4 linked regions of the Caenorhabditis elegans genome follow. The protein of the gene in region 1 interacts with the protein of each later gene in a pairwise test. Each region holds a gene or a part of one and is shown in the gene's direction. Other genes may lie near its edges.

Evidence for each region.
Region 2: the proteins of ZK849.1 (region 1) and lir-1 interact in a two-hybrid assay, tested with the Caenorhabditis elegans proteins (one large-scale study listed by BioGRID).
Region 3: the proteins of ZK849.1 (region 1) and siah-1 interact in a two-hybrid assay, tested with the Caenorhabditis elegans proteins (one large-scale study listed by BioGRID).
Region 4: the proteins of ZK849.1 (region 1) and vab-19 interact in a two-hybrid assay, tested with the Caenorhabditis elegans proteins (one large-scale study listed by BioGRID).

The regions. Positions count from the first base shown.
Region 1 is NC_003279.8:14,182,059-14,187,633, reverse strand, and holds ZK849.1 (PDZ domain-containing protein), read left to right. Parts: upstream 1-1,926; 5' UTR 1,927-2,038; coding exon 2,039-2,116; intron 2,117-2,609; coding exon 2,610-2,801; intron 2,802-2,903; coding exon 2,904-3,065; intron 3,066-3,515; coding exon 3,516-3,655; intron 3,656-3,707; coding exon 3,708-3,828; intron 3,829-3,874; coding exon 3,875-3,946; intron 3,947-4,563; coding exon 4,564-4,656; intron 4,657-4,709; coding exon 4,710-4,847; 3' UTR 4,848-5,039; downstream 5,040-5,575. Other genes in the region: gopc-1 (Golgi-associated PDZ and coiled-coil motif-containing protein), read left to right, coding at 42-175, 234-372, 785-949, 998-1,098, 1,698-1,773.
Region 2 is NC_003280.10:7,670,236-7,675,034, forward strand, and holds the start of lir-1 (LIn-26 Related), read left to right. Parts: upstream 1-1,769; 5' UTR 1,770-1,807; coding exon 1,808-1,873; intron 1,874-4,628; exon of another isoform or gene 4,629-4,764; intron 4,765-4,799. Other genes in the region: lir-2 (C2H2-type domain-containing protein), read left to right, coding at 244-424, 476-895, 1,475-1,559.
Region 3 is NC_003282.8:3,742,398-3,747,878, forward strand, and holds siah-1 (E3 ubiquitin-protein ligase siah-1), read left to right. Parts: upstream 1-1,650; 5' UTR 1,651-1,739; coding exon 1,740-1,926; intron 1,927-2,721; coding exon 2,722-2,883; intron 2,884-2,936; coding exon 2,937-3,170; intron 3,171-3,426; coding exon 3,427-4,002; intron 4,003-4,570; coding exon 4,571-4,625; intron 4,626-4,770; coding exon 4,771-4,816; 3' UTR 4,817-4,954; downstream 4,955-5,481.
Region 4 is NC_003280.10:2,441,523-2,446,281, forward strand, and holds the start of vab-19 (ANK_REP_REGION domain-containing protein), read left to right. Parts: upstream 1-1,756; 5' UTR 1,757-1,769; coding exon 1,770-2,034; intron 2,035-2,335; coding exon 2,336-2,484; intron 2,485-2,582; coding exon 2,583-2,694; intron 2,695-2,744; coding exon 2,745-2,846; intron 2,847-3,379; coding exon 3,380-3,589; intron 3,590-3,789; coding exon 3,790-3,935; intron 3,936-3,984; coding exon 3,985-4,119; intron 4,120-4,706; coding exon 4,707-4,759.

The DNA.
Region 1 (5,575 bases):
GGCTTTAAGGCTTCAAGGCTTTACATACCCTAATCTTCCAGGAACTCGCAGGCCGGATACAACAAATCCAGCTCCTGGGACGAAACATGCGCGGCGTGGAGCACGACAGGCTCTGGAACCAGCTGGAAGCCGAAATTCACCTCCACAGGCACAAGACAGTGATCCGGGCTTGCAGGTAGGCGGTCACGTTTCCCATGGCCGCTCCCCACTTGAACAATTTGCCATTCTTGCAGAGGACGGGGTAACACGAAGGGATTAACGGCGCCACTTCGTCACAACTTCAAGAGCCTCCGAAAACGAAATGGAGTGGGAAAGAGCAGGAAAGTGGTGCTCTCGAAACACCCGCACGAAGGGCTCGGCATTTCTATTACGGTAGGTGGGGGGACTTGGATGGTTTTGGGCCAGTAGATCATTGACTAGACTTGTTCCTTTGGGGATCCACGGGATCCTGTAAGATCTGAGAGTTGATCCAGTTCCCGTAAGACCAAATGTGCCATCTGATTATGAGGTACTTTTGCACGTGGTGTCAGGCTGTCCCATTGCGGTTTGATCTACAAAAAATGCGGGAATTTTTCTCCCAGTCAGTTGAAAAGTCTGCGTCTCTTTTCCCGCATTTTTTGTAGATCAATGTAGATCAATCTAAAATGAGACACTCTGACAACCCCTGCTTTTGTAGTTCTGCTGCATAGCTCAAAACTACTCCAGATAGTTTGCGGAGCTCCGGATGGATCCTAGTTCTTCAAGATCTTAAAAAATCCTACTGGATCCTAAAATCCATTTCCAGGGAGGATCCGAACACGCTCTACCCATAGTGATATCTGAAATCCAGCCGGGACAGCCTGCTGACCGATGTGGACAGGTCTTTGTGGGCGACGCGATTCTCTCAGTAAACGGCTACGATCTTCGGACTGTCAAGCATCAGGAGGCAGTGGATATTTTGAGTGGGCAGGTAAGATGCTGCCAGGGGCCCTCCACCTACATCCCCTCCAAATTCCAGGTACAGCAAGGCGACCTAGACCTGGAGCTCGTCTTTGTGTGCCCCGATGAGGATAGTGATGATGATGGGACGGTGACGATCGAGCACAGCGATGGATCTATGTGAGTTATTGGGAATTTTTCGGCGGGAAATTTGAATTTCCAGTTAGTTTTTAGCGGGAAATTTAAATATTCAATCGATTTTCAGCTGGAAATTTTGATTTTCTGTTAATTTTTGGCGGGATTTTCATATTGCCAGTTAATTTTAGGCGGGATTTTTAAATTTCCAATTGATTTTGAGCTAGAAATTCAAGTTATAAGTCAGTTTTAGGGAGGAAATTCAAATTCTCAGTTAACATTTAACTGGAAATTTAATTTTTTAGTTAATTTTTCAACTGGAAAATCAAAATTTTGGTCATTTTTCAATAGAAAATTCAAATTTTTTGTCGTTTTACTATAGGAAATTCAAATTTTTAGTCAATTTGCGACAAAAAATTCTAAATTTTCTGTCTATTTTCGGCAAGAAATTCAATTTTTCAGCCTATTTTTTGGGGGAAATTCAACTTTTTAATGAATTTTTCGGCGGGGAATTCCAATTTTTTGTCGTTTTTCTATAGGAAATTCAACCTTTTAGTTAATTTTTCGACGGGAAATTCAAATTTTCGGCCAAATTTCAACAGAAAATTCGAATTCCCAGTCAAATTTTTAAATTTTTGTTTTAGCTACAACCTCTACAGTATGGAAGAGCCCACGTCAAGCCGATCGTCCAACAATTCTGATGAATCACGCAGCACGTGACCTCCAAAATGTGGAATTTTTTGACGGGTTTTATTTAATTTTTTTTTCAAAAAAAAAACTTTTTTTTGTATATTTTCCCGTGACTTTCCTCCTCCCCCTAATTGCCACGTCATTTCCTCCAACTCATTGGATTTTTTTTTGGCTTTTTCCAACTTTTTGCATAAAAATCTTTTATTGTTTGAGTTTATCGATTTTTCTTCCGCAAAAAAATCAATAAATGACGTGTCAACAAATCAATCGTCTTACTGCTGTCTTCAATACGGCAATGTCCAAGGCGCTGGCTTCCGATGAGAAGGACGACTGGATTACCCATTTGAAGGCAATTTCGAATGTTTTTACGCAGGTAATATGATCTTCCGGTCGGGCGGGAATTTGAAAATTCTGGGAGAAATATTGATTTTTTGGAAAAATGTCAGTTTTCCGGCAAATGTCATTCAAAAAATTATTGATTTTTCGTCGCACTCCAACGACACTCCGATATTCCGCTGACTAAAAGTAGGCGTGGTCAGGCGGGAATTTAAAAATTTCGCTTTGAAAATCAGTAAGAAATCATCGATTTTTGTGAAAATTGTTAGCTATCCGGCTCGAAATATCGAAAAACGGTTTGAATTTTGTTTAGTATAAAGTTTCTTTAAAATCCCGGTCGGGCGGTAGTTTAAAAATTTTAGAAAAAATCGATAATGTATCGACTTTTCGGTATCCCGGTACAAAACTGTGGCGGGAATTTGAAAAGTTTCCAATAGTTACTTCAAAACTCCTTTTTCTCGGTTATTGAAAACTTGGCAATGACGAGAAAAATCGATAATTTATTAATTTATCACAAACTATTTTTCCAGGTTTGCACTTTGTCCGCCAGTGAAGAATCCGCTAAGAAATTGGCAATCAAGGAGCGTGAGGAGTGTCTCCAGGAGCTCGTGGAGCTTCGTGCCATAGCTGAAGCCCATGATGACGTCATCCAGCAGTTCCACTTGTTGCTGGCCGCGAATCATCAGGGAGACGCGACTTCCAGGCAGATTTTCAATGATATGGTGAGGGAATGTTGCCTGCCTATACCTACCTAGGTGCCTACAAGTACTAGGCAGGCAGGCACTTTCGTGCCTACCTGCCTACTTCAACGCTTAATATTTCAGAAACAAGAAGTCGGTGACAATATGGAAAGGATCCAGGAGCACCGTCTTGTGGAGGCTAAGCTCAACGTGGAGAAGCGGCGTAACGAGCGGATGGCGAAGCATATCAATGAGGTGTCCAAGAAGAGTGTCATGCATCTCATGGCAACCAGGTTCTACGCAAGGGTACGGTTCTACCTAGTCGATGCACCATGTGGGGTAGAGGTTCAGGTAGCTCTGGTTACCCAAAAATTGGTGATTTCCACTTTGGCCACATTTTTTGCTAGCCTAAACCTCAGCCAAAGCCTACACCCAAACCTAAGCCTTAATCCAAGCTTAAGCCTGAGCTTAATCCTAGGCATAAGCGTAAGCCTAAGCCTAAGCCTTGGTCTAAGCGTAAGCCTAGATCACAGCCTAAGCTTTAGCATAAGCCTAAACCTAAGCCTAAGCCTAATACTAAGCCTACGCCTAAGCCTAAGCCTAAGCCAAAACCCAAGCCAAAGCTTCAGCCTAAACATTTTGTCGATGCACCATGACATTTCCCCCACTTTTTTTCTAGATTTTTGGCCCCTACGCATCATCATTTTTTACATGATCATGTCCCCTCCCCACACTTTCCCATGAGACTCATTACAGGAGCTGGCAGCAATGCGACAGATGATGGATTTGGTGCGCAACGCGGCAACGATCGAGTCGGCCGTCAAATCGAAACTGTGGGACGAGATCGAGAAGGAGAACCGCTTGTTGCGTCTCAACACGCTTTGGCTCATCAATCGGTAGGTGATGGATTTCTGTGGGAACTTGTTGGAGCATCAAAAAATTTTCCAGGATCAACTCGTCGGACCTTGGTGATGCTGCATTTGAGAACGGAGACGATTGGCAGAGCTCTCCGCGGCTCGTGATTCTCATGAGAGAGCATATCAATCAGGGGCTTGGGCTCGAGATTACGGTTGGTGCCGAAAAGCCAAAAAATTTGAAGAAATGGAATTATTCAGGGAGGTTGTGATCAGTTCCGTCCGGTCGTGGTCACTGGGAAGTTGAAGCGGTCGATGGCGGACGATGATCAGGTACAGTACTCCTACAGTACCCCTTTTCCTACAGTACCCTTTCCCTTCCTATAGTACCCCTCCCTACAGTACCCCCTTACTGCAGTTATTTCTCTCTACAGTACCCGTTTCTACAGTACACCCTTACTACAGTACCCCCTGCCTGCAGTACCCCACTTCTACAGTACCCCTCCCTACAGTACCCCTTCCCCAGTACTCCTTTACTACAGTACCCCTGCCTACAGTACCCTTCCTACGGTAACCTTCCAGCAGTACCCCTACCTACAGTACTGCCTCCCTACTGTACCAGTCCTCTATAGTATTCTTTTAGCAGTTCATCCTTATTGCAGTACCCCTTCCTACAGTACCCCTTCCCTAATGTGCCCTTCCCTGCAGTACTCCTTTACTACGGTATTTTCTCCCTACAGTACCCCATTTCTACAGTGCCCCCTCCCTACAGTACCCCCTTCCTACAGTACCGCTCTCTACAGTATCTCTCCCTGTAGTATCCCCTGCCTACAGTACCACTCCCTACAGTATCCTCTCTCAACAGTACCCTATTCCTACATCACCCTCCCTACAGTATCCCTCTCCCTACAGTACTCTCTCCCTACAGTACCCCTACTTCATATTTCCAGCTCCGTGTGAACGACCGTATCTTGGCGATCGATGGGACCTTCGTGACCAACACCACCACCCACGCCGAGGTTATGGAAATGCTCGAGAATGAGGTGAGTTTCGCATTAGAGCGCACTTGTAGCCTTATATAAATTTGAATTTCCAGAGCGCCAAGGATTTCATCTCGCTGATTGTATCGCAATTCGACCCGACCAAGTACCACGAGGCCCATCCAAACGGGAAATGTCACAAATTTGTTAGCACACCAATTTCGGGAAAAGCCGATTCGGGGGAGGATGTCTGAATTGTCTTTTTTTTTTTGGTTGCAAAATTTATTTTTCTCTAATTCTCTCCCTCTCGTACAGTTTATAGACTTGTTTGTGTGTCTCTTTTCGATTTTTTTTTTATTTCTTTTTGTGTTTTGCCGCCAATTTTTTTCGTTCTTCTCATGATTACCCCCCTCTGAACCTTTTTAAAAAATAAAAATCAGCGGCTGTCTACGTCTCAGGGATATCAAATGAGACGGAATTAAAGTGGCTCATTTGAGTTTTATAGGTTTTCGGGGAGAATTGATTCCTGGGAGCTTTTCCTCCACTGCTTTTCATTGCTTTTTTGTTGTGGGAACACTCTGCAACAAATTTGGTGGTGAAAACCTGAAAATTTAGCAATTTTCTCATTGGGGCGCATTTGCAACATACCAATTTGAATTTTCAATAGGAAAACTTGTTTCTCTTGTTTTCACATTAACTTCTATCGATTCCTTTTAAATTTTCGCTGAACCGTGATTTTCCAGCAATTTCGCGGGAATTTGAATTTTTAGTTCGAAATTGCACTTTTTTGGTTTTAGCAAAACTGGTAAATAAATATAACAGTTTAAATTGTTGGTTTTGTTGGAAAATCACAAGAAAAATCGATTTTCCAGTTATTTTCTCATTGGGGCGCGTTTGCATTATGCGGTCCGCGAGAATTTAAATTTTTTAAAAAGAAAACTTGTTTTTCGAATAAGTTTAAGACAATTTGCGCTCAAAAAAT
Region 2 (4,799 bases), on another chromosome or scaffold:
AATATATTCTTTTTCGGATTTTTTTCGAATTTCGGAAAATCGATTAAAAAACGAAACAAAAACGAGAAAATTAGATTCACTAAAAAAAGAAGAAATTTCGTTTAAAAAATTTAAAAAATGACCGAAAAACGGAAATTGAGAGATGAAACTAACAATTTTCCTATTTCTCATCAGAAAATTATCACATTAATTTAATTGCAGCTGTTATTTAAATTAAATAAAACATTTTAACCGTTTTTTCAGGTATACCTCGAGCGCCTAGACTCGATACGGTAGAATATTCCAACTATGAACATGAACCTGAAACAGATGAGATTTCTCGAGATGGAACACCATTTTGGTCAACACCAATTCCACCAACTAACAAAGAATTGCCGGTTTCCCCTGTATCACAATTGGACATGACGAATTCAATCAAGAGCAGGTAGAATTAATAAATTAGAATTTTCATTTCATAATTTTTTTTCAATTTCAGAGTGGAACGTGTTGATGTAGAAGTTAAACTGGAACCTTGCAATGACGAAGATGATGAATTTAGTGAAGAAGTTGATGAACAAACTGCTGAATTGGAAGAACAACTAGCAACTGAAGCTATACGGACTGGTTTGGCACTTTTTGGAAAAGTTTCCCCATCTCCAAAACGAATGAAATCATGTGGAAGTTCTGGAAGTGTTTGTGGAGATGTAGTCACAGCGATTTGTGAGATTTGTGGAATTGGAATTCGCCTGAATTCTGGTGGTTCTAAATGGAATTTCTTTGAACACGTAATGATGAAACACTCCACTCATAAACCATTCAAATGTTCCCAATGTCCATATCAAGCTGTACGAAAAGTTCGTGTAAAGCAGCACGGACAATCACAACACAATTCGGAACACGAACCTGTGAATATGATGTGAGTTTTTATTTTGAATTTAAAAAATTTTAAAAAAATTATTTTTTAAAGATTTTAAAAATTGTGCGACAGCTCTTTTTTAGTTGAATCACTAATTCACTGAGATTATTTTTTTTTATCTAATCTCACTCGAAAAGCATGAAAGCCGGTTTCTGTTTTAATTGTATAATTATTTTAAAATGTACGCAATTTGTTTTATAAATTACGAAAATTGCTACTAATGTTGCAGCTGCACCGCAAGATTTTTTTTTTCCATTCTATTTAAAATGGTAATTTTATCCAAATGTGAGGATAAGCCAAAAATTTATTTTTGGCATAAACCCGCAAAAATAGATTTGAAATTTTGAATAAAATGTAAATTTTAGAAATTTTTTTTTCTAGATCATATTTTAGACTAAAAATGTTTCAAAAGAGCATATTTAATTTTTTTTTTAAATTCAATTCTGTCGCAAGATCGCTCCATTAAAAAAAATTAAAAATGTTTGAATAAAATCCAATTCAGACGATGTCCATTTGAAAACTGAATTTAATTCGTTTCATTCCAAAATAAAAAAATCTTACAAAGTCAATTTTTTTCAGAACACCAGAAGTACGAAAAGAATGGCTGGATACAATGGCAAAGTGTTTCCCGAATCATCAATATGGAAAAGAAGCAAAAATTTAATAGTTTCTTTAAATTTTTTTCGTTGATATTTATAATATTTTCTTTTAATTTTAAGTTTTACAACGCAAATTTTGTTCTTACTCGATTTTCAATAAAATCGTCGGTCTTTTTATTATTTGTGGTAATTTCTTTTTTCTTATTTAAATAGTTATTTCTATTTCTGAATATCTTTATCGTGCTCTTGTAATTCCTAATAATATAAATAATATACATAGGTGTCGTCTTCGTACGATTCGAACCCGGCCGGGATGCCGAAATTTGTGGTCATCGAACTGAACGATGATGCAGCAACGATCGATCTTCTCAGTTATTGCGTGAGTTTTTTTATTTATAAAAATTATCTAAAATATTGATTTACTCATTTTCTCTGGTTTGAAACTTTGCATAGAACTTCCAATTGTACCTCTGATTCCTTTTTCGGTCCATATTAACCATTGGTATCCCCTAATTATTCGAATCGACTTCCTAAACAAGGGTGCCGCTGAAAAAATTGTCGGTTTTTTTTGTTGAGAAAATCCAAAAAAATTCACTTTTGAAAAAAAAACGAAAAATTCCGTTTTTTTTTTAAAGAAAAAATCGAAAAAAAATTTGAAAACACTTTTCTTATACGGAATTCAAAATTTAAGTTGATTAAAGTTTTTTTTCAAACAAGTAACCGAGATTTTATTATTTTTTTTGGACTTTACAATTTTTTAAGTGTAATTGAAAATCAATAAAAACTTTTTTTCTGAAAATCGAAAACAAATTTTTTCCGTTTTTTCGCTCTTCCAAAATCCGAAAAAAAGTGCGGTCTGATGCTAACCAAGGATTTCTTTTAAAAAATGTCAATTTTTCTGTTTGAGAAATAATCGAAAATCTAACTTTTTTTTGAGCAATTTTTGTTAAATTTTGATAAATTTCGAAAAATAAATTTTTTAGTTTTTTTGTCTAAAAATGCCAATTTTTTTGAGAGATAATCGAAAAACGAACTTTTTTGGTTTTCCGAAAAAAAAATCAAAATTTAATTTTGTTGAATATAAAACACAAAAGAAAATATAATTTCCTTCTAAAAAAAGCCCAGGCGCTGAAATTTCGAGCAATTTTTGAGAAATTTCGAAAAATCAAAAAACCAAAATTTGTTGAATTTCCAACAAAAAAAACCGAAAAAGCGACACCCTTGATCCTAAAATGTAGGGATTCAACATAACCTATAACTTCTATTCTCTTAGAAATCAGATTTTTGAAGTATAGACTAGCTTGAACATCACTGCAAACATTTTTTTTATATTTCTCCTAAAACCTCTACTCTATCAATGATCTCTCAATTCCAAGCTCTTTCTTTCGCACGATGCTCATTTCGAATTCGACATATATAGCTCCTTTTTTCGGTGCTTCTCCTGTACATAAGAGATCGATGAAATCAATCGTCGTGGCGCTCTCATAAATGTGCAGAAAGGAAGCAAGAGCTGCAGCCAACTGCTGCATCGGCGTCCGTATTTTTTGTTCGCTCTGTTCCCTTTTCCATTTATGCGAGCAACACGGTGATGCTACTTTCATCGACGAGAGATAGTATATGTTGAACGGAGGATTTGAATGTTTCTGTTCACGGAGCAACCGTCCGTTTTCTTTCTCTCAGTATCATCCTCTACCCTTTTTCGAAATATTTCTATATTTGATACTGGAAATTGGTTAATTTTCGCATTTGACAGGTTTGCTCATTTATCGAGATTTTTTAAATCTAAATTCTAAAATCATTAGCGACAATAACTAAAAATATAAATTAATCAATAATTTTCCTGAAACATTAAAATTCCATTTAGTTCTGGTATTTCTGTCCGAACTAATCTTGTAATTGAATAATCTATATTTCATCACAATGTCTTTCTTTTTCTTCTATTCTACGAATACATTTTTGCCTGTACGAGCTCATAATAGAACGCGTTGGCGCCTGCCTCACTTTCAGCATCGTCCGAAGTGTACATACCTCCTGTTCTCCATCATCGTCTTCTCCCATCCCTTTCTCTTTCTCCCATACCGGGTATTGAGCGCCTGTATGCACAATGCACACAACTGACAAAACTGTACTCGTCGCGTCGTTGTCGCCGTTGTCGTGTGCCCCGGCGAGCGCAACCAACAACAAAACTGTGTGAGCGCTGTTAACACCATTTCTTCTATCACCTTCTAAGCATCCCGGTTTGAAAGCGGGTGGTAAGGTGTCCGATATTATAAAACCGCAGCACAATGCTTAGAATGTGTGTGTGTGTGTGTGTGTGTGTGTGTGTGTGTGTGTGTGTGTGGTGTATGCAAATATTGCCGGTGGAGCCGAAGCCATAAAAATCGAGCACATCGTCAGTCTGACGGTATCATTGTGCATCTTTTTTGATACGACTTTTCACTTTTCCGTCACTACACTTAACCTTAAGTCTGCAGACTTCTCTTTTTTCTATAGTATAGACTCTTTATCCCCTTATTACAATAATCGTCTTTACGAGTCCTCATTGCTTCCACTCATTGACTATCCGTACTTATAAAATGAAACTCCTTCTTATTTCTTAATTCTTTGTTCACTTCTACAAGACGCTCTTGACTCCAATTCATTCTCACGCGATTTCGCCCAGTGAGTGTCCGAAATAAGGTCAAATTGTGCATTATGTGAAGTGAGAGTGAAAGGGTCTTCTAAAGTTTTGACCTGGGATACGTCATTCTGAGATTTTATGGTAGGAAGTATTGCTCAAAATCTAGAAGAATTTTTGAATGGTTTTCAAAAAATTATCGACTAATTAAGCAGTTAAAGTACTCGAGTAGAATTTTTTTCGTTGTTTTGAGTTTTTTTTGAAAAGTTAAAAAATGTGCTATCGTTTTCTTTTTAACTCAAAGTAACGTATTACTAAATGTTCCGAAGATCCTGTTAGAGTATCCGTGTCGTCTTTTCTCTCTGAGTTTATGGTATTATGGGAACATTCGCGCACAGTGCGCATTAGTCGTCTCCGTGATCTTTCTCACTCCTCCGTAGCGCATATTATTCCAATCCATGACTTTCTCCTTCTTCATGTCCAAGGAGCGAATGCATATCTCCGTAAAGTCACCCGTCGAGGCCGCAAAGACGTACACCCGCACTTTCGGCTCGCGATGACCTAAATTCTGTGAACGGTTGGACGACGGAAGAAGTTGATGAAATGGTGCGACCTCCTCTCCGCTCTATAAATCGACCCCGATTGGAGCCAATTCAGATGAAATCGTTTTGTGCGCACACACGCTTGT
Region 3 (5,481 bases), on another chromosome or scaffold:
ACAGCTGATCTTTCCATATGACCAACAGTGCATGACCATCAATTTTTGAAATTTTACTTTAAAAAGGTTATTGGTGCCTGATACGCCTTTCATATAAAATCGCTCTCACCATCCCTTCCCTCCAACCGTCTCTCTCTCTCTCTCTCTCTCTCTCTTCAAAAATCGATTTGATTCATTCTCATTCGCATGTCAGCTGGTAGAGAAACACAGAGACTCTCTTACAAGCCCACACATCTCGTCGTCGGTCTCTCTGTCGTCTCTTCCACCACCCACACTATCCCGGTCAGTCATTCGTTGGTGAAAAGATGTGAAAGAGAGAAAGAGAGAGAGAGAGTACGCACACAGAACGCGTTTTATTTCATATTTTTCTTCCTTTCGCCTCTTTTCTTCGTTTTATTCACTCTCTTATTCGTATTTCTATTGTGTATTTATGCAAAGTAATCGTCGAATTTGAGGGTTTTAATCCTTTTGTTAGGTTTTGAAAATATTATTTAGAGAAAGCTAAAAAAAAGCGAATAGTAAAGTTGTTTTCTTTTGCCAGATTTTGTTGTTGTTCTCTGCTTGCGACTTGATTTATAAAGTGTCTGTGTGGACAATAGAACCTTAAAATTGATACTTCCCGAAAAAATTACCACTTTCTTCATGGATTTCATCACTATTTCGTTTAAGATAACCATAATTTAACTTTTCAGTGATTTTTGTGAATGTATTACATTTTTTTTTGAATGTTTCAAATTTCCATTTTTAGAAAGTCACTTATTCAAATAGTTTGCAATCACGTTTTACTGAATCTAGTATCTATACTAGGTATTCAAGTTCATGAAAATCGGACCTTATCCCTTACTTATCTTATTGATTTTCCTAGCCCATCTCTCATCTTTTGTTCTTGATTGCATTGATTTTAGGCGATTATTTTCAAATTTTAATATAAAATTTTCAAAATTTCCTAGTAAATCTTTAATTAAAAAATTTGAGCCTCAGTTGTTTTTTTTGCACAACTTTCCCGGTAATTTACCGAAAATGAACATTTCCGACAAAACTGCAAACCGGCAAAAAATTTTCACAAACATTTTTCTGCAAATTGTGGTTTTCCACATTTTTTTCTGGAAATTTTAGAAATTTAATTTAAATTGGCAAAATTGTACGCATCCTATGAATGTTCCTACATCTATTTTGAAAAGTAAGCAAGTTCAATGAATGTATCTAAAGAAAACGGGAAAAAAAAACTTTCAAAATGACACTGTTTCAAGTGCTTCCGTCTTATTAAAAAATCCCTCTAAAAATTTCCGGCAAACGGCAAATCGGCAATTTGCCGGAAAAAAATTGCCACGTGGTGTCAAAGTGGCTCATTGCGGTTTGATCTACGTAGATCTACAAACTATGCGGGAGTTGAGACGAAGAGTTCCCAACTGATTTCAAATGGTTAACAATGTGCTGACGTCACATTTTTTGGGCGAAAAATTCCCGCATTTTTTGTAGATCAAATCGTAATGGGACCATGTGAGACCCCGTGCCACTCCTGATTCAACAAACCTATTCTAAAAACTTTACTCTCTTCGTAATTCCTCACAATTTGACCTCCAGCGACTATTTCTCACGTGACAACAACAAAACACTCACAATTCGTTATCACCAACTCACCAATTACAGAGACGACGGGAAGACGGCGGCATCCGCAGACACCGAACCACCCACCACCTCCAACATCGTCGTCCTCGTCATCTCGACTGCCTTCGCTGATGAGTAATCGGAACGGTGGTGGAGGAGGAGGAGACTATCAGGACGTGATCGAGTCTCTTCGTCGTACACAGCTCATCTTTGAGGAGGACGATAATAATAGTAGCGATTCGGCTCCGCAAGCGAATCATCTATCCAGACATCAGACTAGCAATTCTTTAGTCGAAGATATGGTTAATCACTCAAATGGTGAGACTTTTTTGAAAACTTTGAGTCTTGTTTGAAAGCCTGCTCATCCCCGAAACTTAGAAACGGCCCAAAATTAAAGAAAGGACTTAATTGTCCAACGGAATCAAGAGAGTCGGCTTTTGAATTTCTATTGAGTATTATTAATTGAGACATGATTAAAAGATCACTGTTTCAGCATTTCACTTGGTGCCAGAATGTCCTATTTCGGTTTGATCTACGTAGATCTACAAAAAATGCACGAGTTGAGACGCATAGTTCTCATTTTATTTGGCTTAAGAAAGTTTTACGCAAAAAAAGTCCGCGTTTTTTGTAGATCAAACCGTGATGGCAGGGGTTTTTTCTGACACCACGTGATTTTTCCGACACACCACTACCTTCAGCCAGCCAAACCTTTAAGCCGGAGCCCAAATCCCCTGCTTTCTCCAACCATGCGTGCTCACCAGTCATTAGTCCCCCCCCCCACATCCAAAACGACACCAATTAAAGTCACTCAACATTTCCTCTTTACTCCCACCCCCGAGAGAAAACTCGCTATTCTATCTCTGTGTTATAATCGACATATGCATCGTAAAGCGGTGTTTCGGAGCCCCTCCCTAGTTTTTATATACCTGCTGAAAACTCTCTCGGAGAGCTCGCTCGCTTCATGATGATCGCATTTTCCCCCACATGCGTTCTTGCTGCTGCGTAGTGAATGCGCTTATTATTGAGTGTATTGAAAATTGGCTCAATGAGCGAAGTAAGTGTGAAACTATATCTTGGAGCCCAGAACTAGCACCATTAAATTTTACTTTCCAGGCAACCCTCCACCGGTCCCGCCAGGCATCACACAACAGCAATGTCAAATCGGATTGACACCTCGGATGTCGGCATCGCCACCGTCTGCAGTGTCAACAATCTCTGGAACCGCAGTGCTTGGCAAAACGATGGCCAGAGTTCAGAGTAATCCCCCGGGAAGTAGTGAGTTTTTCTTGATTTTCAGAACTGTAACGCTAAAATGTAAAATTTTCCAGTACCGCACAACACAACGACGACCGCGCAAGGAATCCAAAGCGTCGCACCACATATTCCAATCGGCGGCGGTGGAGCCACCGACGACAGCAGTGCAGAGATCTTGTCGGTGTTTGAGTGCCCGGTATGCCTGGAGTACATGCTGCCACCATACATGCAGTGCTCATCCGGACATCTTGTCTGCTCGAACTGCAGACCAAAGCTTCAGTGCTGCCCGACTTGTCGGGGTCCAACTCGTGAGTTTTGAAGTTGAAATTTGAAAATTGCGTGACTAGAAGAGTTTAGTCAAAGCTGAAAAAATTACCACAGCTTGAGCAGAGCTGATATGATAGAAGACTAAGATCCTTTCTGGTTGATCGATCTGTCTCAGTCGAGCGCCTAAGCATTTTAGCTGTGTTGTTTCTCTAATGTAGCTAACGAATCAAGGATCTACGGATCTTCAAAGTTTCAGAGTATATCTCAAATTTCAAGACTAAACCTTCAATCTTACAGCTTCTGTCCGCAACCTGGGCCTCGAGAAGATCGCCAACACCGTCCGCTTTCCATGCAAATTCTCTACGTCCGGCTGCCCCCTGAACTTCCATCACGCTGATAAGACCGAGCACGAGGAGCTCTGCGAATTCCGACCCTACTGCTGCCCGTGCCCTGGAGCTAGCTGCAAGTGGCAGGGAGGCTTGTCGGATGTGATGGAGCATTTGAAGAAGATCCACAAGAGCATCACGACGCTTCAAGGCGAGGATATCGTCTTCCTGGCCACTGACATCAATCTTCCTGGAGCAGTTGACTGGGTTATGATGCAGAGCTGCTTTGACTATAATTTTATGTTGGTGCTCGAGAAGCAGGAAAAGTACGATCCAGCTCAGCCAACTCAGATGTTCTACGCAGTCGTTCAGCTGATTGGCTCGAAGAAGGAAGCTGATAACTTTGTGTACCGGCTTGAGCTATCGGCGAGCCGCCGGAGAATGTCATGGGAAGCCACACCGAGAAGCATCCACGAGGGGGTGGTAGTGGCCATTCAACAGTCGGATTGCCTAGCGTTCGATTCAAATGCTGCACAGCTTTTTGCAGGTGAGCATTGACTTTTGCTTTTATCTTAATCGGAAATTACCAATTTTTGTTAAAACTGAGCTTTCAATTTTTGTTAAAACTGAGCAAAAACAGCTTTTTTTGTGAGTTGACAATTTTTTTGGTAACTTTGTTAGACAAGGGATACAGCTGGAATAGTTGAGTGCATCATGGTGCATCGACCGAAATAGTTTTAACAGCCGATACCCCGGTTAAGTGTGTGAATGCTAACAAAAATGTAACCGCTAAACTATATAAAACACGAGAACAAATATTTTGTGAGTTGGAACTTTTTCGATAGAACCAGAAATCCAAAAAAATTAAGTTTCCTTTGAACATGGTGCATCGACCAAAAATTTCTAAGATTGATAAACTCGGTCAATTTTTGAAGATATTAACAAAGTGTCTATTAAAAAATAAAAATAAAAACCGAAATCCGCAGAGGTTTTTTTGAAAAGTTTTTAAAGTTGGGCGAGATATGGTGCATCGACCTTTAGTAGCAAAATTTTTGTCAGTTCCGGAATATAAACTTTAAAAGTTACCCTCAACAAAAATCAACTTTTTTTTTCAGAAAACGGAAACCTTGGAATCAACGTCACTATTAGCCGAATAGATACTCCACAGAGGTGAGAATTGTATTTAAAAACTTTAAATTCAAGTTTAAATGTTTGAAAATATTTAAAAATTACAAAAAAAACACATTTTTTCAATAAGCCAATTTTAATCTATTTAATTAAAAAAAAAAAAAACTAATAACTGATTTTTTTTCAGGCGCCACCCAAATGAGTTGGAAAATTCTGATCTCGAGTACGACTAGATATGCACAGTGTAAACGTAATAAAATTATTTTTGATTTTTTTCTTCAAAAATGTGATGAAAAGCTTAAAAAATTCAGTTGAAAATCCCCTTACAATCAGAACATTTTAAAAAATTTAAAAATTAAAAAAATTTTTTTTTTGGATTTTTTTTCTGAAAAAAAAACTATATTTTGTTCTAATTTTTTTTTATAATGTAGAATACCCCCCCCCCCCCCCCGCCCCCGCCTCAAAATATTAATTATCTGTATAGCATATCCTTCCATGACTCGGAATGGATAACCACAGAACACTACGGATTTTTTTTCAATTTTTTTTGGTTTATAAATTTCTTTTTTTTTGTATTTTACACTCGATTTACACATTTTACGAGCTTTCCTGTGTTGTTTTATCGATATTTTGTACTTTTTTTTTGTCTCTTGAACCACTTGCGTAATAGCCACATTTTTCTTTCCAATTTTTACGATTTTATACTTTAATCATGTTGAATAAATTTTTTTGAACTTTTTTTGATGGTTAATTGAAATTTTGGAGAAAAAACATTTTTTTTTTCAAAATTAAAGAAATTTAATTCATTCTCAGTTTTTTTTATTTGGAAAATTTGCATCATAACAATTTTTCACAATTTGAGTATTTTCAAAATTTATAACAGAGTGCAAATAAAATT
Region 4 (4,759 bases), on another chromosome or scaffold:
ATGCGTAAAAGTGCCAGTTTTTTATTTTGAAATTCGAATTTTTAGAAATTTTGAGCTTGTTTGAGCATTTTTCTGAAAACTGTCCGAATGGCGCAGTGGGATTTCGGATTTTGGCTCGACTCACAAGGCCGGGGTTCGACCCCCCGCTAGGGTCAAATATTTTTATTTTTTTCTAATTGGTCTTTTTAAGTCTTTTAAACCATCAGACTTACGAAAAAAAATCGATTTTCCTCGTATTTTTCTGCAGTTTTTAGTTTTCCTCAATTCATCCTTACTCCACTACTTTGATCCGCATTCTCCGCTTTCTTGTGTAGAATTTCCGGTTCAATCTCTTCCATGGAATGATGAATGACCCAATATCACAGATATAATCACTAAATTAACCTCCCATCACTTTATCACCACCCATCTTGTGATAAGGGTAGAGAAATTCTTTGTGTTGCGTATTTTTACCCGAAAATTGGCAATATTTTTACAGAATTTCTGCAGTTTTGCTGGGTTTCATTAATTCTGTTTACATTTTCATTCACAAAACGACAAAACAAAAATATTAGACCCTTGTGGGAATCGAACCCCGGTCTTGCGCGTGGAGCCGAAGTCCAAAATCCCACTGCGCCACTCGGACACTTTTTAGAAAAATGCTCAAAATCACTGATTTTTTTTGTTGTTAAATTTTGGGTTTTAGACGATTTTAGTCCAGTTTTTAGTTTTGTATCAAATTTTAACAGAAGAAAACCGAAATTTCTCGGATTTTTCCGCCGAAATGTAAATTTCCATTTTTCTTTTCCACCCTAAAATATACAAATGTAATAATAATTTTTGCATAATGAGTGAGACAAACCACACCCTTATCATCAGAATAGTCGTCCTTCACTACGTGTCTGCGTCTCTCTCCCTCTCGTCTCATGTCTCTTTTTCTCATTTTGGCGCCGCGCCTTCTATCAATCAAGTTGAATTGACGACGAGATGATTTCATTGTAAGGAGGGGGTAAAGAAAGAACGTATCTTTTTCTCTCCAAGGAATATTTTTTTTTCACATTTTTAGGCGCCAAGTTTTACCCGAAAATTGTAGTTTTCCCGCTTAATTTGAATATTTTCCGGTTTATCGGCGAGATTTTTTAATTGAAAATGTGAAAATCGTACTTAGAACGTTGAGAAATTCAAATTTGCCTTTTGAAATTTTGAAATTCGGTTATTTTTGAGCATTTTCCAAAAAAATGTCCGAGTGGCGCAGTGGGATTTTGGTTTTTGACTCCACGCACAATACCTGGGTTCGATTCCCGGTGGAGGACAATTTTTTTTGTTTTGTTGATGTGTAATGTAGAAACCATTTTTGAATTGGAAAATCACTTTCGGGCAACTTTTCCTGAGTTTTTTTAAAACTTTTTAAAAATTATTTTTGAAAAAAATGTTTTATAGTCCACTTTTTTCCCTAACTTACAGTTTTAGAGAGTTTTAAACTATGAAAATTGCAATTTAACTTTGAATCTTCAAAAAAATTGGATTTTGGAGCATTTTTCTGAAAAGTGTCCCAATGGCGCAGTGGGATTATGGCTGCACCCACAAGACCGGGGTTCGATCCCCCGCTGGGTCAAAATTTTTTGTTAAGTTTTATTATTAAAAAAAACATACTCCCATCATCAAATTAATGTCTTTTCTTCAAATTTTCAAATTTTTCTCTTATTTTCTACTCCGATTTTTGCTACTTCTTCCATTCCCCCCCCCCCCCCCCCCAAAAAAATTTAAAATTTTTCAGGTAACCATCACAAATGCGTGATATTGGCGGAAGTATGTCTTCCGCCTCAACGTCTGCCACAATTGTCAAGCGGAGCCCGCCAAACGACACTTCCACGTCATCAGGGGTCTCGTGTGACGTGTCACCGAACTCAATGACGTCACCATCTTCTGGAAGCGACCAAAATCAGAATAATAACTCGTTGAACAAGTGCAAATGTTGTCCATATGGATATCATATCGATTTGGGATTCGTTTCCTACGCACAGAATGTTAGCAATGGATTTGTGTCGAGACAAGGTGAGGTTTTTTGCGAAAACTCTAAAAAGTGGTAGAAAACGTGAAATTTGTTATTCAAAACTATTTTAAACAAATTTAAAATAGTTTAAAACCTATATTTCTGTTTAAAAATTGGAAAAATCGGGTAATTTTGAGCTATTTTGAGAAAAGCGGCCAAATGGCGCAGTGGGATTTTGGATTTTGGCCCCACGCACATGACCAGGGTTCGATCCCGGCTAGGGTCGAATAATTTTTTCTAAGTCTTTTTAGTTTGAAAATCAGTCTGAAACATTGAAAAATTGCCCATTAAGTACTTTTCCAGGCACCCCGACAAATATGACACTACGTGGCAATGGAGCAGACCGACATTTGATGTCCCCACTGCTGGATAACAGTATTTTCAGCGACTCCTTGGATAATTTGATGAGCGATTTTGATGATGTTCTGGCACCACACAAGGAGGTGGAGAAGGTGAGCTTGAAAAAATTTAAAACCGCGACGCGACCGCAACGCGACAATAAAAAATTATCAGAATTTCAAAAAGTTAGTTGCAAATTCCAAATTTTCAGAAAAAAACGGTCCAAGACATCAGAAGCCGAATGCAAGGAGGCTACAACTCGGACTACACCACATATCGCAGAGGACCACCGGAAATTCCCAGAAGAGCACATTTTGAGCAAGGTTTGCACTTTTTCTGAGCTCCAAACTGAATTTTTTTTTACATTTTTCAGCTAAACCACCTCCGCTAAGCCGTCCGATCAATTTAGGGTTTAGTGGAAGCAGAAGTAACACGCCAACTCAGAGATTTAATGCTCCAAATGGCACTGGAAATGGTGAGGTTTTTGAAAAACAATTTTTAGATGGATATAACAATGCAAAAAAATTTGGCCAGAGCCCGGGGTCGAACTTGCCACTTTTTTCTGCGATTGGGCACCAGCCATCTGTGTTAACCACTGCGCCACTTCTACCCAGTTTAAAATTGCGATTATCTCGAAAACCGTGATAGCTAGCGAAAAATTTTCAACTGCAAAAATGATCAGCGTAAAATTTCCTTTCGAACAAATTGTTGAAATTTTCAAAACTTGAGAAAATGTTTGATCTGGCAAAAGTTACATTTTCCGTAACAAAAAAGTTGTTTCCAGTATACTTAGGCTCTACAAAAATTATTCTCCACTACCCGGACTTGAACTTGGCACTTTTTGCACCGATTGATTCCCAGGCATCTGTGTTAGCCACTGCGCCACTTCCACCCAATATCATTTTTCAATTATCTCGAAAACCGTGATAGCTAGAGAAAAGCTTCCAACTGCAAAAATGCTCAGAATAAAATTTTCTATCTTATCACTTTAACTATAGAAAATTTCAGGCTACTCCACCGCGCTTGCCAAGACAATCTCCGAGATCCGGGCTCGCAACGCCGAGTCGCCATTCCCAGACAGTCGTGTCGGGACCCCAATTGACTTGGGACTTCATCAACAAAATAATGGACACGTGACGCCGTCAAGATTCGCTAATAATCGATATGATGACCTACCTCCGACGCCTACGCCTACCTTTAGAAGGGCTCCGTCTCAAGGTAAATTAAGAGGCTGAACATTGAAATTTATCTCTGGAATTAAAAAAAACAATTATCTTTGAAATGTATATTTTAAAAAATTTCAAAAAACTCAAATTTAAAAAAAATGCCCAAATGGCGCAGTGCGATTTTGGGTGTCATCTGAGCAAAGGGTCATGGGTTCGACCCCGGCAGTGGCTAAACATTTTTTATTGTTTTAGGTGACTTGCCACGTGGATTCTCCACCGCCCCCTCAACAGGTCCCGGGGACTTTGCAAGCCTCCGGCGTGGCAGAGAATTTGCTCTTCCACCCGAGCAAGAGCACCACTCGAGACGGTTTTTCTCAGCGTCGCCAAAGTTGCCGAGGGTAGGTTTTGCAGAAAAATTGAGGAAAAACTTATGTAAAAAGTTTACAGCGTGGACTTCAAGCCGGGCCATCAATCGATGTTGAAAGCCATTTCACATATGCACAAACTCAAAACGGGCAGAAAGTGCTTGCAAGGACACAATCCACAAGCACTTCACCACCGCCACAAGCTCCTGCTTCAGCGGTAAGATTTTTTTTTTCAAAAAAAAATTCAAAATTCCTCACTTAATAATGGTTTGAAAAAAATTCTGTAACAATTTGGCATTGAAAAAAATGTAAAAAATGTTTGCCGTAGCCCGGCCTCGAACTTGGCACTTCTTGCACGTATTGAGTCCCAGCCATCCGTGTTAGCCACTGCGCCACTTCTACCCTAATTTAAAATGCGGTTATCTCGAAAACCGTGATAGCTGGAGAAAAGCTTCCAACTGCAAAAAGGATCAGCGTAAAATTTTCTATATATTAATTTTTTGAAAATTGTAGAATTTCCAACTATTTCAAAAATTTATTAACAATTGTTAAAATTGTGTGAAAATCTGTTCCCAGCTTGATTTCAGTATGCAAAAAAGTTTTGTTAAAGCCCGACCTTGAACTGAGCACTTTTTGCACCGATTGAGTCCCAGGCATCCATGTTAGCCACTGCGCCACTTTCACCCAGTTTTAAATTGCGATTATCTCAAAAACCGTGATAGCTAGGAAAAAAATTCCAACTGCAAAAATTATCAGCATTAATTTTTCTACAAAACTGTATTATAAAACTTTGAAAAATTCCAGTTCGAACCAGTAAAACCCCTGTCAAATGGAAGCCCAAGTCCAACACATCAGGT